2 linked regions of the Astyanax mexicanus genome follow. The protein of the gene in region 1 interacts with the protein of each later gene in a pairwise test. Links are inferred from orthologs where the notes say so. Each region holds a gene or a part of one and is shown in the gene's direction. Other genes may lie near its edges. The genes, in order: nipblb and mau2.

The links.
Region 2: the proteins of nipblb (region 1) and mau2 interact in binary tests that used the Homo sapiens proteins (3 or more experiments, as listed by UniProt). The link is inferred for Astyanax mexicanus from reciprocal best matches to the Homo sapiens genes NIPBL and MAU2.

Annotation. Positions count from the first base shown.
Region 1 is NC_064427.1:4,596,267-4,603,928, reverse strand, and holds the start of nipblb (nipped-B-like protein B), read left to right. Parts: upstream 1-4,434; 5' UTR 4,435-4,931; intron 4,932-7,662. UniProt on the Homo sapiens protein: Plays an important role in the loading of the cohesin complex on to DNA. Forms a heterodimeric complex (also known as cohesin loading complex) with MAU2/SCC4 which mediates the loading of the cohesin complex onto chromatin.
Region 2 is NC_064411.1:47,985,875-47,994,023, reverse strand, and holds the start of mau2 (MAU2 chromatid cohesion factor homolog), read left to right. Parts: upstream 1-4,995; 5' UTR 4,996-5,257; coding exon 5,258-5,491; intron 5,492-6,619; coding exon 6,620-6,637; intron 6,638-6,937; coding exon 6,938-7,003; intron 7,004-7,844; coding exon 7,845-7,940; intron 7,941-8,057; coding exon 8,058-8,149. Other genes in the region: sugp1 (SURP and G-patch domain-containing protein 1), read left to right, coding at 1-146, 977-1,083, 1,291-1,436, 1,825-1,954, 2,602-2,628. UniProt on the Homo sapiens protein: Plays an important role in the loading of the cohesin complex on to DNA. Forms a heterodimeric complex (also known as cohesin loading complex) with NIPBL/SCC2 which mediates the loading of the cohesin complex onto chromatin.

The DNA of each region.
Region 1 (7,662 bases):
CATGACCCAATGACTTTAAAACAAACAGCTAAGCCCCAAGCCACTGTATGTGCAATTGCACAGTTTCAAATATTCGACCATTTTTTTTTTTTTATAAAACTGTATCATTCAGTGTATCAGCAAGTAGGGCTGCATTATATATCATTTTAGGATTGTCACTGCAATTTGAGCATGCACTATAGTCACACCATAGGATAGGTAATGTCACAGACTAATTAAAAATAAACGGAGTGTCTATTTGCACCCGGGTGCAAATAGCACGTGCCACACAGCAAGGCTATTTTCACCCCTTAATTAAAAAAAAGAAAGAAAGAGAACTCAATGCGAGGGAGCGAAAAGGCGCAAATTCACAGATGGGGAAACGGAGACCATAGGAAATGGTAAGCAGAATTTGGTTATTATTTATGTATAAAAGGCCCATCACTCAATTTAACTCTACATTTTAAGATAAATATTTAAGACAGAGTGTGAGAATTATTATCTATCGAACACTGTTGACTGAAAACGAATAAACTAAGCTAGTGTTTTGGTGGATCTCAGTTTAAGTTATTTGATTGAATTAAAGTTTGAGGCAGTTAGGTAACTTGTTTTAAATAAAATACACCATGTGCTTTGCTTCTTGGTATAAAAGAAAAAAAATCTTATTTTTTCTTTATATATCTATACCAGAGGCAGATTAGATCTGCTTATCATTGATTTTGCTTTAATAACATAATAACCAAGCTAAACTGAATTGAATTTGCACCAGGAGTAAAGCAGCATAAAGTTATCCAAAAGCAGTTTTTAAGACTGGTAAAAGAGAACATGCCAAATGAATGAAAACTGTGATTAAAAAAACAGGGTTATTCCACCAAATATTGATTTCGGAACTCTTAAAACTTGAAAGAATATGATCTTGATTTCTTTGCATTATTTGAGGTCTGAAAGCTCTGCGTCTTTTTTGTTATTTCCATTTTTCATTTTCTGCAAATAAATGCTTTAAATGAAAATATTTTTATGTGGAATTTGGGAGAAATGTTGTTCGTAGTTTATAGAATAAAACAACAATGTTCATTTTACTTAAACAAATACCTATAAATAGCAAACTAAGAGAAACTGATTCAGAAAAACAAAATATTGCTGTGCCATTTTATACAATATTGCTAAGTACTACTGGCTCCATAGATTACCTGGATAGTAAACGTGCATAAACGAAAGCCCTAGTCCCATCAATAAGATGGTAACTAAACATTTTATGCTATGGTCTAACAATCCTCACATTTGAGTAATATCATAAGTTAGTCCTTTATAAAAGAAATCAGGTGAATTAGAGAAGGAAACCTTAAAGCTGAACTGTTAGAGTAAGCACTAGAGTTGGGAAACTTTTGAAGAGAGGAATTTAACTTCTTGCCTTTCCCTAAAAAAAGTACTTGACCATAATGATGACTCAGTTCAGAGAAATGTGTGTTCATGCAGAATACAGCAGCAGTGTAGACTGTATCAAAATGTTAAATGCACCGCCCTGTGAGCGGAAAGGATTTTTTTATAAATTTAACCCTTAATTTTACAAGGGTTAACTGATGTAAGAAACAACATTATTCTGGGCAATAGATATGAGATTCTGAGTTTTAGGACTGGAAACATTTGAATTATCCAGCAACAGTAATGTCTTGTGTGTGGGTAGTCATGATAAAACATGGGCAGGTGAGTTTTTTTTATTGTTTTAGCTCATTTATTTAGCTTATTTTATCACTGTTCAAAGAAAAAAATCTTAACTTTAAATGAAAGTCAGTGTAAAATAACAGCTAATTTCAAGTCAGTGGAATTAAAACATCCACAAATGTCAACACATGTTTTTAATGGGTGGCACAGCTATGATAATTTACTTACATAAGCCTTTGTGTGAGTTTTTGACATTCTTAAATGAGAAACACTAAAGTAACCAGTGGGAAGAGGGTGCAGTGGCGGACTTAGCAATTTGGGGGCTCAAGGCGAATTTAGCTAGGGGGCCCATCAACATTAATATGCGAGAAATAAGTTATTTATTTTAAAAAATAGTTAAAAAAAGAACATTGAAGCTTTCAATTCTAATTGTACTTTTTATATGTGCAATCAATAAACATATCTTTAAATAAAATATACATCCGAATGCCAAAAAAAGTAAAGCAGTGTGACTGAGAGCATTTGTGTGAGTCAATCAGTAATTTTTATCTAGAATTGTAACTGACCTTAATGATAAAGAATAATTATCAATCACATCAAAATGTACAGTGAAAATATGAGAGGAGGCAGAGTTTGTGTAAGGGTGTTTGATCAATAAAATACTAAAAAGATTTAAAATGAATAAAAAATAATTAATATAAAATACAAACTCATTTAAAACACAATCAAAATCTATAGATATATATATATAGATATATCTAGTGCGCAGAATAATATCAGTTTCAGTTAGTTTCAGTTTCAAATAATTGAAACAGCTCCCCAAAACCTCAACTTATCCTTTATATTTGAAAATATTTGATTAACTTTACAGGTCCTCACTCATCTCAATTTATTAAACTAAAATGAGTTTTCAAATTATTTCTAGCCTCGCGCTGAAGAGAGAGAGAGAGAGAGAGAGCGCGCTTTTCTTGTGACTGATGCTAAACTGTTTGATCCAGCTGTTATTATATTATATTATATTATATTATATTATATTATATTATGTTATATCAATACCATTTTAACGTTTTTCGTTTCTATGTTTTGAAATTCGTTAGATTATATTTTTGTTAACATTGGGTTTATTTTCGTTTGTTATTTTTCTAAAAATAATAGAATTTACCCTACCTACACAACCCTAGTACGGCACCTCCTAGTCCCCCTCCTCCACCAAAACATTTGGGTTAGGTGGTGCTGACACACTAAAAAAGCTTATCAGTTTTGGAAGAGCATCTGTTTTTAGTTTAGCCTCTTCCTTCTTTTTTCTTTTTGAAGCATGGCTTCTCACAACCCACTTAATTTCACCTTAATTCCGTCTTTCACAAGCAGCGTTCGCGGTTCACCGGCATGGATGGAATATTCTATTTTAACGCGAAAGAGAGGGGGTGTGGACGGAATCTGTATTCCTTTGTAATTAATTGTGTTGTCTTTGTTTCCATTTTAAACATACAAGAATCACCATTTCTGAACGCACTATCTGTGAATTACTGTCCAAAGGGCCCCAATTACCAGCTGTAGGTCTGTGGGAAGTTTGCAGCTAGTCAGGGGGCCCCTACAGTGGGCTGCAGTGGGAGGGGCCCAAGGCAGTTGCCTAGCAATGCCTCTATGCAAAGACCGCCTCTGAGAGGGTGTGTACTAAAGCAGACACAGTTTAGAACATATTAAGGTTTATCTGTGGTCTGTATTTCCCCATTCATGTTTCCCATCTCAAGAAGTAATTTTTAAATTCTATTTATATGACTAAGGTGGGAAAACTTAAAAATGCACATTTCAGGTGGGACTCCAAGACTAAGAGAATGATCAAGACGAAGAGAACTAATTTGATGCCTTAATACAACGTGATGTGCAGCAAAGCTATGCAGTTCATATGAACCTTAGAGCTTAGAACTAGACAGCTACATGAAGAGGATCTTGTGTGTGCATAAGTGCGTTGAAAATGGTTGTGTTATACACTACAGGTAAAGACATGAGGTTTCAGGATTCGAAAACAGTAAACTAGTTATGGATATTTTATTTTTCTTTACAGTCATTTCATAAATTACATTAAGTTATATGAGTGAAATGGCCCATACTGAGCTTATAAATGCACTCAAAATGTATGCAAACGTCCACAAATTCTTCTTTCTATTCCTCCTTATTGAATAGCATTTTGAAATTAAACAATACATCTTAAATGTATTTCACATGTAAAGAAATCTCTCATAATCTGTTAAAAAAAAAATAAGAAAAAACATCCCATTTCTGCATCTTGTATCAAAAGTCTATATAAGATATAATTAAATACAGCTTCTTTTGTTATAACACAAACAAATTGAATAAATACTTTTTATTCAATTTGTTTGTGTTTTCAATTTTCTATTTTTTTATATTCCATTTCATTTACCCTTAACAATTTGAATTTATATATTTTTTTCATTTTCCCTAAAATTCAGATTGTTCATTCAGAAAATTAAAAAAATATGTATGAGTGCCCAAATCTTCTTCATTATAACTACCGAATGGAAAAAATGAAATATTGAAGTTTTGCACCCAATAATTTATTTTCTAATTTAGCCTCAAAGGTCAGAAAATATTATTCATAAACCTCACACTGACCCTGAACTCACTGTCATTATTATCAGTGGGAAATCTACACTACTGTTTCCAGAAGTTATTAGTATGGGTACGGTGTGAGAACAGTATCTGGAGGAAAGTGAGCGGCTGAGGCTGGGCTGCGGGGCTGGCGGCGGGGACGCGGGGAGCGGGCTAGCATTAGCAGGCTGGCGGTGTGGCCTCGGAAGTCAGCGGGTCGCTGCTGGTTGGTTTGGCGCCGGTGGAGGGAGTCATTCCTGCAGCAGCGCTTCCGGTCGGCATTTTGTTCTGCCAGAGAAGGGGGGAGAGTGTCTGAGTGGATCCTTTTATCACCGCGTCAATAGTCTTTCAGGGTTTTCTCTTTTCCTTACCCCCTCCGCCGCACCAAACACCCCCCGAAAATCGCCTTTTCAACACACAACCACCCACGGTCCGCGCTGGCTGGAGCAGGACCGGCGGAAAGGAGCAGCGATCGCGGGGAATGTTTACCTCCCTCCAGCCTTCATGTTTGCAGTGAGAAGGAAGAAGAGCGAACCCTCCCGACCCGGATTATTGTTGTTATATTACTCGGAGGAGCTGTGAACGGAGAGGGGAGCTAGAGACACTCAAACCCGGAGCGGGTTTCGCTACCGTTTCTTTCTTTTTTTTATTTTTCCAAAAAACCAACATCACGTCCAGAGGTAAATAACCACACCCGTTTGCTTCGTTAGATATATCTCCGCTGATGGAGCAGCATTACGGCCGGACGGTGCAGCCGAGCATCGGCCAAACTTGCGTGTTATTCATCGCTGTTAGCTAGCTTGGTTAGCCGTTAGCTAGCTGTTAGCCGTTAGCCGGCGGCTCTAGCTACCTTTCCGCCGGCACACTCGCTGCCTTGCGCGCCGACGTAGGGCAACGGGCCGCGGGTGTGCGACCCCAGGCAAGCCCGCGGCTTCGCTTCAAGGCCGAAGCAGTCATTGAAACGGAATTGGGCAGCGGATCAGTTCTTTTCAGGGAGCTCGCCTTCTGTGTTTTTCAGCAAATGAAGTTTAACCAGCTACATGCGTAGCCAGCCTGCTTGCTTGCATTCGGTGGGAGAAGAAGAAAGGGCCTTAACAGCTAGCTAGCTATGTTGGCTAGCGTTAGCTAGGTTAGCTGTGTGTCTGGCTAACTAGCTAACTAACAAACTAGCTAGCTAGGTTAACTAAGCTATGTGTTAGCTGGCGTTAGCTCTTACTAAACATAGAATTTAACAGCTAGCGTTAGGTTGACTAGGGTTAGTTAAAGGTCTCTCTCGTTTTCTCCCACTCTCTCTTACTGTGTGTATGTGTGAGTCAGTGAGTCTTGGTCAGGCATCACCATTCAGTTAGCTAGCTACATAAATAATGAGCGAGTTAGCTAAAACTAGTTAGCTAGCTAACGCTAGTTTTTCTACTTCCAGCTCACTTGTTCACTTGTTTGACATTTACTAGATAACTAGTTATAATTCCAGTTATTCCAATCACAAATGCGGAGGATTAGTGTGTGTATGTTAGCTTATGGTGAACAAGAAGGAAAAGTGTTGGACGTTAACTAACTCTGTTAGCTAACTAATTATAAGCAACACGCAGCTTTTCAAAAAAATATTTCTTGTCTGTCTGCTAGCTAAACAACAGTGTATTCAGTGTAGTCTATCTGTCTAACGAGCTATATCACTGAATCTGAATCACTGGCGCAGGAGATTGCTTATTTAAGTCAAGAGGCTTTTTATTTTTATTATTATTATTATTATTATTACGGACAGCTAATCTAGCTAGCTAGAGTGTATACAAGGTCGCAGCTAAAGAGTCGAATAAAAAGGCGAATGAATAATTCAGTAACGTTAAGTAATTTTAATTGAACCAACGACATTTGGCTAAAGATAGGACTATCGCATAGCTTCTAACTACCTAACCAAACAAATACTCTTAGCTATTTCAGGGTTTTCTGTACACCAGGCTTCTTCAGATCTAGTCCGGTGAAGAGCCAGTGTCCAGAACTGGCTAAAATTATGTTATTAATTACCATGTGTAGTAAGTAGGTTTGTGTGTAGGTAGGTTACATCAAGCCATGCTGGACACTGGACCTCCAGCACTGAATTTGAAGAACACTGCTTGCTGTGTACACTGAGATTTGTCAGTCAGACTCTCGCATTGTAATTGGAAAAAGCTTCAGAGTTCTCAACACCATGTTGATTGCTACCTAAACAAAACAACACAGGTTAAAGGTGTTTCACTCTTTCTCAGGCTTGTTTTCGCTTGTTATGGAATGTGTTGTAGCTAGTGTTTAATCTTTTTAGAGTTTAGCTAGTTACACATACATATTTTTAAGGTTCAGTCGACTTTCCCCTCTCACAGAATACAGAATTAAGCAGGACCTAGGCACAGTTTCAGTTAGGCTAACACACATTAGCATACATTGAAATGCAAATAACAAATGGGGTTGCTACTAGCTAAATAACTTGCAACGCTAGTTATCAAGTTAGCTGTGTAATTATTAAGCTAGTGAACCAGCTGAATATTGAATATTCATTTTTTCTGTGTTTTTAGGCGTTTTATTTCTGTTACACTATTAGAAGCAAACTAGCTAGCTAGCTTAGCATATTTTGGCCGTTTATAATCCATATCAGCTACACCGGGTGCAGTGCCGTTTGAATGGTTTAATAGCTGTAAATGTAGCTTTTGTGGTTGGCTAATGTTTATACGACATTTCTAGATATAACTAATTAGACTTTACTAGCTACATCAGTTGGCTGAGAGAGTTAATAGCTAAACTATTGCTTGTTAGCTCGCTAGCTATCCCAGCTAGCTAAATGCCTTGCATAACTAAGCCAGCTTGCTAGCTTAGCTGAGGATCAGGAGTCTGACATTGTTGAGGCTAGCTGGCTAACTTGGATTTAGAAGTGCACAGCTCCATATATACAGCCCATTTCTACAGTTTTACACGCTAGTTGGGTTTACTTGCTGTTGGTAGGTAGGTTAGCTAAATATTTTGTGAAAAAATGCTGTTCATGTTGCCTTTTCACTTCACCAGTATTATTAAAAAGCCTGCTTCTTTCTGTGTGTTAGCCTTAGCTTATTTTCTGTTATATGCTGCATAATTGAAGCCATTAGTCGAGGAATTTTTAGTAAATAGGTAAATGTATCTGCATGGTATATTTGAGCACTTTTGAGAATTTGTTTCACCTGTTTTCAATTTCAAATCCTAGACAAGTTAATTAGCTGGCGGTTGTTTCGTGTTTTGAAGTAGCTAACTAGTTAGCATCAGGCTATTGTGGTCAGTAGCTGGGTGTTTAGCTCACCACTAAATGTTTGATAGCTAACCTATGTAATCTAGTTAACTAGTTAGATATTTTTTTACATATTCCTCCTCCACAGGATGTGTATTGACGTTAGCAATGTTCAGGTTTGTGTT
Region 2 (8,149 bases), on another chromosome or scaffold:
CAAGCGGGCGATGCAGGAGATGCAGGTGATGTGGGAGAAGGCCGTGCGGGATCACCAGCATGAGTACGACAGTGACGAAGAGGTTGACTCTCAGGCAGGAACATGGGAGCACAGACTCAGGAAGATGGAGATGGAAAAAACAAGAGGTCAGTGTTTACCTGAACTGTTAATTATAAAGATGTTATATTTACACAGCTTCTCACATCATACAAAAGCATTAGTCATATTTGAAAAGAAAGCAAAAAAAAATGCAATGACATTATTTCAAAGTGTCAAATATTGTAGTATACATTATGAATAATTACACTGATAGCACATATCTAGATTCTAACATATATACAGTCACCAATGAAAGCAAGTAATTCTATGATTATAATGAGAATACCATAATTTACCACCCATGACTAATAAAACCTGGTCCTATTTACAGGGTTCGTACGGTCCCAAAAAAAATTGAAAAGTCATGGAATTTGAAAATAGCAATTTCCAGGCCTGGATTAGTTTTGAAAAAAATAAAAATACCCAGAAACTTGTGGAAAAGTCATGAAAATTTGGTCTACAAAGTTTCTGTTTATCGATGAAGAAAAGCTACTTTGAGCTAACGAATACATCAGCTCAGAGTTATTTAGTAATTTACCCCTACACAATGGTGCTCTCAGGATCTGACACACATTTTATTATTAAAGATTGTGTGTCCAATTAGTTTTAGCCCTACTATAATCCATTTCAATTATAGTTTTAGTTGATTTAATTTTGGTTTTATTTTCCATGTCTGCACTGATGTTTTAAAGATCGTAAATTTGCCTTGAAGGCAAAGTCATGAAAATATCATGGAAATTTATTGGTTAAAATGTATATGAACCCTGTATTTACTTTAAATATTATTATTATATATTTATTTGGAATGTCATCATATGCACCCTGCGACTTTCATTGTATCTCTAATGTTTTTATATTTGTTTGTTATCCTGAGCAGAATGGGCAGAGCAGCTGACTGAGATGGGGAAAGGGAAGCATTTCATTGGTGACTTTCTGCCACCTGACGAGCTGGAAAAGTTCATGGAGACATTTAAGGCTCTAAAGGTGAGATTAACAAAACGATAAAAGCCTGCTGCTAAACTCCAGAGTGTATTCAGAGTACTTTTTATTTTGCATACATCATATTTATGGTGCTGCTGTACCCCCTCAGACATTGATCCTCCTGCTGTGTGCTGTTGCTCTATGTCTGAAGGTGTTTACAAAAAGAATCTGAACTGACTGTGATATTGTTTTTGTCTTTGTGATCTGTAGGAGGGCAGAGATCCAGATTACTCTGAGTATAAGGAGTTCAAGTTGACAGTGGAGAACATTGGTTTTAAGATGCTGATGAAGATGGGCTGGAAGGAAGGAGAAGGTCTGGGCTCGGAAAGCCAGGGCATCAAGAACCCTGTTAACAGGTGAAAATTATCAAAAGCTTTAATCAACAGTAAAGTTTCTTAAATTCTCACACTACAGATAAGAGAAGGGCAGATCAGTGTTTCTGGGGCTGATACTGATTGCTGGTCTCACCTGTCAATATGATAAACACCCATATACACCCACATGACCAGCTTTGATGTTCAACAGCCAGTCACATATTTCGGCTAAACATCATCTAGTACCAATACATAGGCAATCATTTCTTCAATTTCTACTTCAGATTCCTGTGTTCTGCAGGTGTTTGCATGTTCTTTGCTGTAGTAAAATATGCTTCTCTCTGAGCTCTTTATCAAGTATATTACTTTATGTGATTTCTAGGGTTCTTCAGAAAAAAACAATGGCTTTAAACACATTTGTGTTTTTCAGGGGAACCACTGCAGTAGACGGCGCAGGGTTTGGAGTGGACCGACCTGCAGAACTCTCTAAAAATGATGACGAGTATGACGCCTTCCGCAAGAGAATGATGCTGGCTTACCGCTTCAGACCTAATCCCCTGGTCAGTAAAGAGCACAGGCTTGCTTGTGTGAATTATTCACACAGGACCTGAATCTGCAATTCACTATTCTTTATATATTGAGCAACACAGAACATAGGTGAATGTAGTCATAATGTAGTATTTCATGATCTACATGCTTTGTGCATTTTCACTGTCCCAAGAGATCAAATAATCATCATGAAATTTGAATTTGTATGTTATTTATTTTATTTATGAACCATTACAATGCAGTGTTCTAGAAAAATGGGAAAACCTTAAAATTGACAGTACTTTTCCAGTTTTTTTGCAATTGCTCAAAAGGAAGTGTTAAAAGTCCTGAAAATATTTATAAGATCCTGGAAAAGTTGAAATAATTAGCTACTCAGATTATGTGGACAGACATTTGCCAAAAGACAAAATAAACAAAAACAAAGAATTTCCAGTGGGATTTGTATGTTATGTAAATGATCTGCATATAATATATAGCTGCTATCATGCAAATCCATTTTTGAAAATATTTTTTCCATTCTTCAGTACTGTGACAATATTTAGGTATTGAACAGTACGTTAATTAATAATCTTGCCTTTAATTTGCTCATTGTTTTGTAATTTAATTAAGTATTTATTTTATTATGTCCTGATATTATCTTTTTTTCTCCCCTCTCCAGAATAATCCAAGGAGGCCGTACTACTGAAGGGATCGCAGTTGTATTGTGCTGTAGTTTTTTTATTTTAATATTTGACATCCTTGACATTTGGACGTGCAGTTTAAAATGCACACCGTGATGGTATTACAGAGTATTAATGCTTTGCCCGAACTTGAAAATGTCCCGTTTTTCCTTTTGCTTCAGTAGATCATGCTCAAAGACATTTTAGAGGATAATGGCTCAAACCTTCACATGTTCCCTTTTTTAAAAAATAAAAACTTTCAACTTCATAGAATCATACAGTTCAGATTCAGAGTTATCTTAGCTGGTTGTGTATTTTTTCCAAATATCCAAATGGACACTTCACTTGAACTTTTGAGCTGCGCCGATTGTCTTGACAGTATCTTGACAGTGAATTCATCATTATAGCAGTGAAAAAGCTGTTTTCTCTCTTGTTTGTTGTCATATACTGAATGTAATGTGTTCTGTAGACCTCAAATAAAGGTTTAAATGGTTCTCCAACACAGTGTTTTATGTTTTACCATGTTACAGGTGTTGCTGACATACAACACCTAAACAGGCTCCACATAGAAACCTAGTCACTAGGCTGTCCCCAAATTAAAGATGCTTCATATACAGTTAAAAAAGGATATTTTCATTTTGAGGATGCAACTGATGTATCCTTCACATCCCATGGTTACCCACAATTCTCAGCACATGTAAAACATATAGGGAAAAGGAAAAGCAGCATCACAACAATAGTAGAAATAGTACAAAACGAAGCCCCAGAAGCAGAGTTCATTTTTATTTCGCACATCATTGTGTGATGTTTGCTAATGCTGTCACCATTAAGTCTTGTTAGACTTTCACAAATGTGAGACCAATAGGCTACTGAGAAAGACTTTACTTTTAGTGCTGTGAAGATTTGGTTGCATTGAAATCAAATCATTTACTTTTATAGTGTTCATGCTTAGTGATGCTTGATGTCAACAGAGAATCAGACGAAACTGTAAGCAATAAAGGCAAAGAAAAACTCTCTCATAGCTAAAGGAGGAAGAAACCTTGGGAGGAAGCATAGCTAATATATAAGAAGGGCCCCATCCTCCTCTTGTCAGACAACTTATAAATTAATGTTAAAAAGTTATTATACATCCACATGAGTCACATACAGTTAGAAAATTTCTAATGAGAATTTATATAAACTTTAATGTAATTGGTAGTGGAGAGTTAACATATCAGAGGCAGGTGGCATATACTGGGCGGTGGGAAGCTGATCTGTGGTGGGTGACTGGGAAGCCTGACTTCCAAAGACTTCCATTGGTATGAGGCCAGACAGTTGGGCAGTCAGAGAAAGGCAGAAAGATGGAATAACTTTTGACTAGATTTATGGAGAACAGATAATATGCAACATTGTCAGTGTCTGGCTGCTGACCCTGGCAGATCTGATTTGGGGAAGAGCCAAAGGTCACATGCAACACTCAAACCCAACCCCAAGGTGTTGGTTGGATCCCTTACTTCAGAAAATGATAGTTATCTGTGTGTAGAACCACATTTATATAATGCCAGGTTGACCACCAGAGCGGTTAGATAGTGGATGACAATCCTAATGTGTACGGGGGCATTCCCAGATTATCATCCATCGGTATCAATAACTCAGAGAAAGGCAGAAGGATGGGATTTAACTAAGCAAATGATCTAGGGTTGCTGCAGTTGTTCAGGTCTAGGTTCAGCAACAGTATGTGCTTAAAGAATGAGGTCAGCCGACTACCTGAATATATTGAAGAACCAGGATATTCCATCAATGGATTTTTTTCATGCCTGATGGCACGGCCATATTTTAAAATGCTCTGGAGTTGTAAAAGAAATGGTTCAGGGAGCATGAGCATAATTTTTACACATATTGACCACCACAGAGTCCGGACCTTAACCTCATTGAGAATCTTTGGGATGTGCTGGAGAAGAGCTGCTTTGTGCAGCAGTCAGACTCTACCATCATCAATGCTGCTGCAAGATCTTGATGAAAATTAGTGCAACACTGGATTTAAATACGTCTTGTAACATTGCAGAAGCTTATTAAAAAAATGCCATAGTAAATGCGTACCACAATCAAAGCTAAAGGCGGTACAACCAAATAGTATATATAAATAAAACCATAACGATGAACAGAGTTGTTTTAATGTTTCAATTAATTCAATGTCCTTTTGGTATTATGAACTTTATATAAACACAAAAGGCATGTTACATTGGTAGTGAAGACCCAACAAATGATCTTTATCTATATGTCCTAAAAACTATGAAATCTCTCTGAATTCTTAATAAATGTCATTTCTATTGAATAACACTAAGAAACAGAGGATTGTATCACTAAAGGAGTGTGAATCTGCTTTCTGAATCTGGGGTGTCTGAGTGGGGGGACGGCGAAGAGCACTTTAGCTGCTTTTTACCCTTTTTTTACCAGGTTTAAAGGGGAAAAAATAAGCGAAATAGAGAGTACAGATAAATTGTAGATAGCTGAAGGACTCTGTGCGGGGGAAAGCAAGTTCTTAGAGTAGTTTAGAGGCTGGAAATGGGGGTAAAATCTTAGCTAGCGTCCCCTGAGTCCACTCCACTGAACTCTCGCCGCCTGTGCGGAGCTCCGTTCAGGCCGCGGCTTGTTTTTGTTGTTATTGTCGTCAAAATGGCGACTGGCGCTGAGGCCCCGGAGTCCTGGTACCTCGCCCTGCTCGGCTTCGCGGAACATTTTCGCACGTCGAGCCCACCTAAAATACGTCTGTGTGTGCACTGTCTCCAGGCTGTGCTTCAGTTTAAACCTTCGCAGAGGGTAGAAGCCCGAACGCACCTCCAGCTCGGCTCGGTCTTGTACCACCACACCAAGAACAGCGACTTGGCCCGGAGTCATTTGGAAAAAGCGGTAAGAGCAGATCAGGAAACACCGAGGATGCGGCGGAGAGGCGGGCGTGTAGGCCTCAGTGCAGAAAGTGCTGCTTTTTAGACTTTTGACTGTGTGAATTTTAAGATAGACACATTAAGTACGTTGTTTGGGGCGTAAACGATAATTACAGCTTATTTCTAGAGAGTATACACGTAAAACAAACCTAAATGTACCTATACAAGCTATATGTTCCTCTAAAGCTAGCATAAGCTAGCTACCATTCAAAAGCTAGCGCTAGTTAGCTTGTAGGTTATATATACACATCAGGGTATCTGCAGATCCTTAGCTGGCTAGCTAACTAGCTATATTACTCATATTCTTAGAAAATTAGGTTTTAAACGGTTTTAGCTTAAAATTAAGCTTGAATTAATGTTGAAATATCTTGAATACATCTTCCCAAAAGTCTTACACAACACAGAAAGTGAAGAAAATAGGTTTTATACTAACTTAAGCTAGCTAGCTTAGCTTAACATCTTTCAGATTTAGTTGTCGGTAACTTAAAGGCAGACTGAATTAAGTTAACCTAAGCTGACGTGATTTAACTAACAAATCAAGATAAATAACCCCAATTAATCATAATACCATATGTCTAATGGACCATAACTTAATTTTCTCGTGTGTGCTAAACAATTAACTAATTTATGCGTCTTTGAAATGTCGTTTTTGAATTTTTACTGGGGGAAATACAGAGATGTACGTTAGCTTACTCTAGTCTGTGAAGTTAATATTGGTGTTCCTTGCTTTTAAACATGTTCTTATTTTGTTATTTGTTGAGTGGAATTATAAAGTCTTAAACGTATAAAAAAAAAACCTTAATACTCCTGTATTCTCAGTGTATCTTATAGCTAGCTAGTTTAGCTAGCTATGCTACATTAGCCAGTCCCTAGCTAACTAATGTACTGTAAGTTAGTCCCAATATCATATTTGTGTATCATTTTTCACTCTTAACTGTTTCAATGTTAGTTACTTAGCTACTGTTGTTTATTTGAATGGTTTATGTGTGTAAATCTTAGCTGTTTTCGGTGATGTAAGTTAACTGTGTTTGCTTGCTAGCTAGGTACCTAATAACTAATTTATCTTTTTTTATTCTTTCTTTATCTCTTTCAGTGGTGCATCTCGCAACAAGTATCCTTTTGCAATGCATCTACAATGGAGAAAATCGCTTTATTTGGATGACTAGCTTTGTTATATGTATAAATGTCTGTATAATCAGTGTGTGCTTGTGCAAACTGTCAATTAGCTTCCAGTTTCACTGCCTAAAGCAGAACTCAAAAGGAAGGGTACAGATTATGGCTGAACTTTTTGTTTTCACAAGTAATGGCTTTCTTCAGTGTGTTTTTTTCAGTTCTTTCAGTTAAATAGCTGTCTGAGATTATAATCATGTCAGATCTGTAGTAAAAATATAACCTTAACCAGTGTTCTCAGGTCCCACAGTTTGAAGATGTTAAATTTGAGGCTGCCAGTCTCCTCTCGGAGCTCTATTGCCAACAGGTAAGAATTGTATTTTGTGTAATTTTGCGTAATGTATTGTGGACGGTTGCACTGTCTGCAGAAGTGTATGTATGCTTTTTTCTAAATTTACGTAACAAGGATGCTCTAGAACAGCGATTTACAACCCTGGTCCTGTTCCCAATGTACCTGATCTAACTTGTCAGCTAATTTACAAGCCCTTTCTGAGTTGATTCTGTATTCATGCAGTATCAGTGTTTGGGTAAATGCAAATTCTTGATTTGGAAGTTGCACCTTATCATTCCCTCAAGTCATTATTTGTTGTGGAAAATGGGGATATATTTCATATTCAAGAACAGAATCAATATTGGATGGTACTTAATCGTTTTTTTGTTTTGTTTGTTTGCTGCTGCAAATTATTTTAACCTGTAATCTATGTGCATTTAACATAATGTTGAGCAGTAAATGTGGTGTTTGAGATGGAAACACTACATTTTGTAGATTATGGGGTCCTCCAGAGTGAGAGTTGTGAACCACTGCTAGATCTAGATCACTCGCACATTAGTCTAAGATTACTGTCCCTGGACCCAAACTTTGGACATTAAAAGTCCACAGTTTATTGAATTGTAAATATTGTTGTTAATATTGATGAACAATAATAACAGCTGATTCAACAGATCTTCTGATCTTACTGATTCTCTTGTGGCTGAATTTCATCAAATTCTTACAGTGATGTTACAGCATATACACTTCTGGGCAAGTTTCACATTATATTTTGTTACTGCAGTGAAGGGGGGTAAAGTCATTGTTAATACCCTTTATGTTCATTGAGTAGGTGTCTATATCTGAGAAATTCCATGTCATTTTATTCCTTTCTTGACAGAATTTGGTTGATTCTGCTAAGCCTTTACTACGCAAAGCCATTCAGATCTCCCAGCAGACTCCATATTGGCACTGCAGATTGTTATTCCAGCTAGCAGTAAGTGATGGCATGCATTCCTTTACATCATTTTTTGCAATGTTTTAACAGCAAGTGAAACATTTCAAGGCTTTATCTTGAGCATCTGTGTTTTTCTTCTTCTTTACTTTCTTGTAGCAACTGCACACACTAGAGAAGGACTTGGTGTCTGCGTGTGACCTGTTGGGTGTAGGTGCAGAATATGCCAGAGTCGTGGGATCAGAATATAC